Linked DNA regions of Macaca fascicularis. The protein of the gene in region 1 interacts with the protein of each later gene in a biochemical or structural test. Links are inferred from orthologs where the notes say so. Each region holds a gene or a part of one and is shown on either strand. Other genes may lie near its edges.

Region 1 (3,808 bases):
TACAGGCGTGAGCCACTGCGCCCAGCCAATCTCCCCTATTATAGCCAGAGCAGCTTTCTCAACACAACATGCCCCCACCTAGCAACCAGGTGTGGCACCCCGTGGCCTCAACCCTGAGCTCAGCCTGGCACTGTCCCCAACCTTACAGCTTGCCCCTTTGCCCAGTACATCTGTGGTCCTAGAGTACCCTCTCCAGTCCCAGTCTCCTGTCCTCGTGTGGACATGGGCTCCGGGAGTCCCCACTGCTAGACAGACAGCCCTCTCTAGATCTGGACAGAGCTGAGGACTACATAGCAGAGCTGGCCACCCCTACCTCCAAGTGGGAACTGCCCGGCACCCCCTAGGACACCTCCAAGGCCAGCAGCACCTGAGAAGAGGCAGGTGGGGTCAGGACAAGCACCCCCATCTGGAAGAGGCCCTGATATCCCTGCTGGGTTCTGGGGTAAGGGATGTCCCAGACAAGATCTTCAGGGGTAGGGGGAGCCAGAGGGAGGCCTGAGCTGGGCTGGGGGAGGGTGGTGATGGGCATAGCAGGGGGTGCAGGCCACTGGCAGGAAGGCCTCAGAGGGGAACTCACCGTATTTAGCTGCTTTGGCGGCTGCAGCTGGAGACACACCTGGGGAGATGAGGCACATGATAGCTCAGGAATGCCACCTGTCAGGCCCTGTCTCCTTTTTTTTTTTTTTTTTTGAGGCAGTCTCGCTCTGTCGCCCAGGCTGGAGTGCAGTGGCGTGATCTCGGCTCACTGCAACCTCAGCCTCCCAGGTTCAAGCGATTCTCCTGCCTCTGCTTCCTAAGTAGCTGGAATTACAGGCACCCACCACCGTGCCTGGCTAATTTTTGTATTTTTAGTAGAGACAGGTTTCACCATGTTGGCCAGGCTGGTCTTGAACTCCTGACCTCAGGTGATCCACCTGCCTTGGCCTCCCAAAATGCTGAGATTACAGGTGTGAGCCACCGCACCTGGCTGGGCCCTGTCTTCTGACCTACTCACCCTTTACCGTCTGCCCACGGACTCATCCTCCCAGTAGCTATCCCCCCATCTTTCCTTCATCTGTCTAGGGTCTTGCTCTGTTGCCCAGGCTGGAATGTAGTGGCTCGATCACAGCTCACTGCAGCCCTGAACTCCCAGGTTCAAGTGATCTTCCTGCCTCAGCCTCCCAAGTAGCTGAAACTACAGGCACACACCACGCCCGGCTAAGTTTTAAATATTTCGTAGACTTGGGGGTGGGGTGGGGAGGGTCTTGCTATGTTGTCTAGGCTGGTCTCAAACTCCTGGCCTCAAGCAATCCACCTACCTAAGCCTCCCAAAGTGTTGGGATTACAGGCATGAGCCACCATGCCTGGCCCCAAAAGTCCTTAATTGTTAAGCTCCTCTTGTGTGTGTGGGCTTGTGGAACTCACAGGAAGAGCTGTGCAGGCCGGTTTAGAGGGGGAGACACAATGACAGCCCAAGAAAGGGGGAAACGGCCACGCAAAGTCGGCCACGATGGCGGAGACTTAGGGAAAGCAATTTCTTTCTCTTTTTTGTTTTTTGAGACGGAGTCTCGCTCTGTCGCCCAGGCTGGAGTGCAGTGGCCGGATCTCAGCTCACCACAAGCTCCACCTCCCAGGTTTACACCATTCTCCTGCCTCAGCCTCCCGAGTAGCTGGGACTACAGGTGCCTGCCACCGTGCCCGGCTAATTTTTTTGTATTTTTAGTAGAGACGGGGTTTCACCGAGTTACCCAGGATGGTCTCGATCTCCTGACCTCGTGATCCACCTGCCTTGGCCTCCCAAAGTGCTGGGATTATAGGTGTGAGCCACCGCTCTTGGCCAGGGAAAGCAATTTCTCTCCAAGCTTTGATTTCTTTCTTGGAGAATGGGCAACTCCCACCGCAGTGGTCATGTGGGTTGAAAGAGAGAGGAGAGGGAGAGGATTGGGACCCTGGCAGCCAGGGATAGCCCCAGCTCCCATTTGCCACATTTTTTGTTTTTATTTTGTTTTGAGATGAGGTCTTGCTCTGTTGCCCAGGCTGGAGTGCAGCAGCACGATCTCGGCTCACTGCAACCTCCGCCTCCTGGGTTCAAGCGATTCTCCTGTCTCAGGCTCCTGAGTAGCTGGGATTACAGGCATGCATCACCATGCCCGGCTCATTTTTATATTTTTAGTAGAGACATTGGTGGAGTTGCTGGAGCCCATGTTGGCCAGGCTGGTCTCGAACTCCTGACCTCAGGTGATCCACCCACCTCTGCCTCCCAAAGTGCTGGGATTATAGGCATGAGCCACCATACCTGGCCTCTTTGCTTTTTTCTTTTTTTTTTTTTTTTTATAACAGGGTCTCACTTTTGCTGTACAGGCTGGAATGCAGTGGTACCATCTCAGCTCACTGCAGCCTCCGCCTCCTGGGCTCAAGAGATCCTCTGGCCTCAGCCTCCCAAGTAGCTGGGAATACAGGCGCCCACCACCACGCCCGGCTAACTTTTGTATTTTTGGTAAAGATGAGGTTTCACCATGTCACACAGGCTGGTCTCAAACTCCTGACCTCAGGTGATCCGCCCGCCTTGGCCTACTAGAGTGCTGGGACTGTAGGTGTGAGCCACCGCACCTGGCCGAGAGGACGTCTTGAGCAAAGATATGGCAGGGCTGGGAAAGAAAGTCTCTGTCTCTGTCTCCATCTCTGTCTCTCACACACACACTCCACGCACTCACTGATTCAGAACAACTCTTACCTCCAAGGCCCCCAACACCTGGGACGGCTCCAAGCCCTCCGACTCCGAGTCCTCCGACTCCGAGTCCAGCAGGTCCCCCTAGGCCTGTGGAGAGAGCTCAGCATTGGACTCTGCCGGTCAGAAAGGTGGGACTGAAGCCTCAGCCTGCGGAGGGTGGAGGTGTCCTCTGGGGACCCAGGTGGAGCCTGAGCTCTCCCGGCCTTCGATGGCACAGTGGAGCCAGGAGGTGTCTGGGGCTGGAAGTCTGAGTCTACAGTGCCTGGTCAGAGGCTCCTCCCATACCCTGGGGGCCTGGGGGTCTGGCAGCAGCTCCCACCTCCACCCAGTGCTCACCAAACTGGGCGGCTTTGGCAGCAGCTTTGGCTGCAGCAGCTGCGGCGGCGGGTCCGGCTCCTGGGAATACAGACCGAGTTCAGGGAGGGACTCAGTACTGATTAGCCTCTCTCCCCAGCCAGCCCCTCCTGGGGTTTCAACTCACCCACCACACCGCCTGGGATGCCTACTCCACCGAGAGCCCCGACCCCTCCAAGGGCCCCAGGCACTCCTGCTCCTGCGTGGAGAGGAAAGAAGATGAGTGGCCCATTTCTGAACAATGGGTCTCCCTGCCCCAGGAACAACAACACAAGCAGACAGGTGGCAGGGGCCATGTGACACAGGGGAGGAGCAGCGGACAGGAAGTCCAGTCCTTGTTTTGTTTTGTTTTGAGATGGGGTTTTGCTCTGTCACCCTGGTTGGGGTGCGGTAGTACAATCAGTTCATTGCAGCCTCCGACTCCTGGGCTCAAGCGATCCTCCTGCCTTAGCCTCCCGAAGGTGTGAGCCGCTGTGCCTAGCCTTAAAAGTTCCATTGTAGGCCGGGTGCGGTGGCTCACGCCTGTAATCCCAGCACTTTGGGAGGCTGAGACTAGTGGATCACCTGAGGTCAGGAGTTTGAGACCAGCCTGGCCAACATGGTGAAACCCGGTCTCTACTAAAAATACAAAAATTAGCCAGGCGTGGTGGTGCGTGCCTGTAATCCCAGCTATTTGGAAGACTGAAGCAGGAGGATCGCTTGAACCTGGGAGGTGGAGGCTGCAGTGAGCTGAGATCGTACCAC
Region 2 (4,267 bases), on another chromosome or scaffold:
GGAATATCTTGGTCGGCTGGGTAAGAAATCTGATGTCCCTTGGTTTTTCACTCTTTGGGGAAATCTGAGCAGCACCCTGTGATCATAATCTCTGACATCTGCCCTGTATGCCGTACTGTGATTTTGAAAAAAGAAAAATTATTATATTCATAGAATATTAACTAAAGACAAAACTACAAATAAAACCTCCATTATATAGTAGTGACAATCCTCCTTCCCCAGCTAGACTATCAGTTCCAAGAGGCCAGGGCATTTAGTTTATTTGGTTCATTGCTGAAAAGCTCCTAGAACAGTCTTGGAGCAGTCAGAGCTCAATGAATATTTGGTGAATAAGTGAATGAATAACAACTATGGAAATCCACAGATTTTAACAGTAAAAACATAATAAATAAGCATTAAAAATCTAAATGTCAGAAGTAAACTTTATGTCTAGAATCAATTCAAGTTTGATCATATGAACGAGTGAAACTGAAGTGGAAATAATCCCCCAATAAAAAATAATTCACAGATATTACGAACTTCAAATTTAGCAAAACTTTCAAAATAGTTAATAAGTTGCAAACTGAGGAAATAACTCTAGAAGAGCATACCCAGATTTAAATTAATAATTTTGTAACTTCACTACCCCAAAACAATGGCAGTACTGTAAAAACATCATAGGGAGTTCAATGGTGTGAGTGATGCAAGACTCAGGAATGAAAATGAGCTTGGATGTCTTCACTTCCTTTAGCCTGACAATTGTAAAGGGTCAAAGTAGAAGAAATGTACAAATAAACATTACTGTGTTCCTACTAATATATTTAGTGTGGCTATATGTTCAGATGGTATTGATGACCTTATTTTACACTTTACATTTTTGATTAAATTTTTATTAAAACATATTTTGCTCCCTCTGCTGTTTCCTAGCAGTAAACTCAGAGAACCCCAATCTCAGAGTTACTATTTTATTTTAGAATAGTGGAAGAACAAAGCTCTTGCTCATGATCTTATTCTGGCTGAAGTAATACCGAAACAACCAAGTTCATCGTGGTCTCAAACAAAAGAGGAAAACTTAGTCTTTACCAATGAGGCTACGATGGCAAATTTGCCCCCATTCTTTTAAGGGGGTATTAACACACCCTTCATTACAATCAATGTTTTGAATTACTGTATAGTTGTTTTATGAAAAGTGATTGGAAACAATCGACTCCCAAGTTTAAGTATCTTGGAAAAAGAGCATGAGACTTCAGTCTCCAGGATAAGGGTTTGCGCCACCTCTCTGATTCGTGCTGCAGTTTGAGACAGAACCCACAGAAATCTTCAAAATATTAACTCTCCGTCCAGGTCAGCATGCCCAGGAGGTCACGTCCCACTTCCCAGCTCTTGTCCCACTTCCTAACACTTGTCTGCGCGGAACAGTAGCAGTCAGAAGCAGGCACCAGAGCGCCCCCTGAAGGAAGACCGGGGAGCGGGGCCTCAGACATCTCAGCCCGTACCTGGCCAGGCAGTTTTCCTCCGCGGCGCATCTCAGGTTGTACATGGACATCTTCTGCACGTACGTGGACGCCTGGATGTAGTAGGGGTCGGCCACCAGGTCTGGGAGACCTAAACGTCAGCAGGCGACGGGCGCAGCAGTGAAACAACCCGGCGCCCCCCGCTCCAACTCCCTACCCCTCTAGGTCCCTTACTCCTCACCCTTCTCCCACCGGGACTGCAGAGTGGAGCAGGGGGCAGCAAGAGAACTGGGGACTCCCGGGGCTGCAAAGCAATGTGAAAAGGAAGCAGGAGGGGCCAGACGCGCGGTTTGCACTAGATTCCAGGGCTGCCACTGCAGGCGCGTTGGGGGAGGGATTGGATCTGCGAGGACCGGGGCCCGCCGCGCCCAGGCAGCCACGTCGAGAAGCCACATAGCTGGGGACCAGGTGCACGGGTGGTTCCAGCGGACTTGGGGGTACTTACCGTACTGGAAGTAGCCAGTGCCGTATCCGGGCCGGTACCTGCCCCCAGGTCTGGGCCTTTCATAAGTATCGTAGTAGTTGTAATAAGGGTTGTCGTCAGAGTACTTGTAGGGGTTGTACGGGTCGTCGCCCACCATGCCGTCCACGCGGCTGGGCAGCTGCAGGTTACTGAGCTCAGGGACATCTCCCGGCGCGGTCTGGTTCTCCGCGCGCGGGGCGCCAGCTTCGCGGGCTCCAGATGTCGAGTAGCCAGCTTGGAACCAGTGGCGGGCGGTGGGCCTGGGGCGGCCGGCGGTGACTCCAGATGAGCCGGCCGTCCGCGCCCGCGCCGCGGCGGTGCGGTTGTCGCGGATCAGCAGGATCGGAGTGCGGGGCTGCTGGGCGGAGGCGCTGGCGGCACCGGGGACGGCGGCGCCCGGGTCCCGGCGGCGCTGAGGCTGGTACTGTGAGCCCAGGCTCAGCAAGCTGAACACCTGCCCGTTGTTCTCCCATTGGATCTGCTGGCGCCAGGCTCCCGGAGCCGCCGGCGGCTCGCGCGGGGGCTGCTGTTGGCCGGCGGCGGGCGGGGCGCAGCGCACGAGCGCGCAGAGCTGCAAAGGCCCGAGCAGGAACACTGTCCAGGCGAAGCGCATCACTCCTTTTGCCAGATTGACCCCGCTCGAGGAGGACGTGGCTCAGAGAAAATAAAAACAGGGCTCAAATCACGTGAGGGAGGGAGAAATCTTCAACCAAGGAGCCGAGCGGAGCACGGGTATCTCAGTCTCCACCAAGCAATGCCAAGGGTGGGATTCAGACCCTTCCCCAGTCAAGACGGCTGCTCTCGGACGTGGCACCCTTCCCTTTCCCCTTTCTCAGTCCTGGAAGGCAACGGGGAGCGGCGCGGCAGTCCCGGAGAGCGGGCAGTGTCTGGAGTGAAGGAAGGAGGAGTGATTTTAAACTTTCTGGCACGTTTGCAAAGTTACACAAGCCGTTCTGGCCCGGCCGCCCCTCAGCTATTTGTTCACGTAATGCGATTGGAAACGTGCAAGGCGGACAGCTCCTCGCCTCTGCCCCTCCCTTTCTCCCCTCCCTGCCCTCCTCCCCCCAGACACGTTGCACAGGGAGCGTTAAGGGGAAAGAACAAAACGGAACACACATCCTGAGACACACTGGCTTAATCTGGGGCGAACATGCAGGAATTTCAAAAAACTCAGACAGGCGAAGGCAGCCAGGCCATGGGGCGACGCCAAAATATGCACGAAGAAAAATGCTATTAGGTCACCAGCCCTTGAGAGGCGGGAAGTCGGGAGGTTGGGAGGGTGCTGGGGGCGAGAGGGGGGCGGGGGAGGATTGTGACTAAAGTTTATCCATAGAAGAGTTAACCAGACACATTTCCCAACGCACACTCACTTGCTTTTATGGGAAGCGCCCTCAGCAAATAAACCCCAGGATATCAAATTTTGTTTTTCTGTGTGTAGGTAATATGAGAAATGGGTTACAAATTTATTTCCTACAGTGAATATTTTAATAACCAAAAGTGAAATTTTACAGGGAACAAAGCCAGCTAACGCTGCAGCAATGAATAAACCTGTCTCTTTTTCAAAATGCCGGCCTGATTTGTACTTTGAGTGGAAGTGGAGAGCAATCGTTCATCTCCACAGTGTCTATAAGGAAGATTTACTAAAGACTAGAACAAGTCTGCACGAGAAAGCACTCAGAAGGCATCTTCACATATGCATTTTATAAGACATCTTTCTCCTTCATCTTATTTATAAAGAGGTTTGACTTTGGTTTAAAAAAAAATTAAATCATCTCTGTTAAATACTGAAAGTCAGTAAAACATCGCTTGCTGTTTGATTTATCTTCCAATCTAAACAAGGGAGTTGCTGAAGAAACAGCCTTAGAGTTCAGATTTTGGTAAAGAGAAGGAAGTAGGAGTGGTCAGAAGAGAATATAGGTAGGGAGGGGATAAATTATGTTGACTGGAAAGAGATACATAATGGACCAGTTATTCATATACCACTCAGGGTTTGGGCAGTGCTAGAAACCTCGCAACAAAAAAAAAAAATGGTTACTAAATGGTCTGATTTAACACTACTACTCAAAACCAGATTTTGGTTACCATTTTATTGGTCTCATCATTGGGCTGTTGTCCAGACATACTTCAATATTCATATACCTCTGTTAGTCTCTGTCTCTCCGTATTTAATCACTGCATTTTGGTGATGTGGTGGAACTCTGCTGATTTGACTGCCTCACATCCATTTCCCTTTTCTTTCTAGTGAGAACAACTGGATTTTCCTTTGAGGGGCTTCCCGCCCATCCCACTCAGTTGCAGAGTGGAAGGACTG

Evidence for each region.
Region 2: the proteins of ELN (region 1) and LOX form a complex in vitro, tested with the Homo sapiens proteins (2 studies listed by BioGRID and IntAct). The link is inferred for Macaca fascicularis from reciprocal best matches to the Homo sapiens genes ELN and LOX.

Annotation. Positions count from the first base shown.
Region 1 is NC_088377.1:52,948,136-52,951,943, reverse strand, and holds part of ELN (elastin), read right to left. Parts: intron 3,264-3,808; coding exon 3,192-3,263; intron 3,107-3,191; coding exon 3,047-3,106; intron 2,798-3,046; coding exon 2,714-2,797; intron 617-2,713; coding exon 578-616; intron 368-577; coding exon 314-367; intron 1-313. UniProt on the Homo sapiens protein: Major structural protein of tissues such as aorta and nuchal ligament, which must expand rapidly and recover completely.
Region 2 is NC_088380.1:128,681,698-128,685,964, forward strand, and holds the start of LOX (protein-lysine 6-oxidase), read right to left. Parts: upstream 2,846-4,267; 5' UTR 2,570-2,845; coding exon 1,939-2,569; intron 1,585-1,938; coding exon 1,476-1,584; intron 116-1,475; coding exon 1-115. UniProt on the Homo sapiens protein: Responsible for the post-translational oxidative deamination of peptidyl lysine residues in precursors to fibrous collagen and elastin. Regulator of Ras expression. May play a role in tumor suppression. Plays a role in the aortic wall architecture.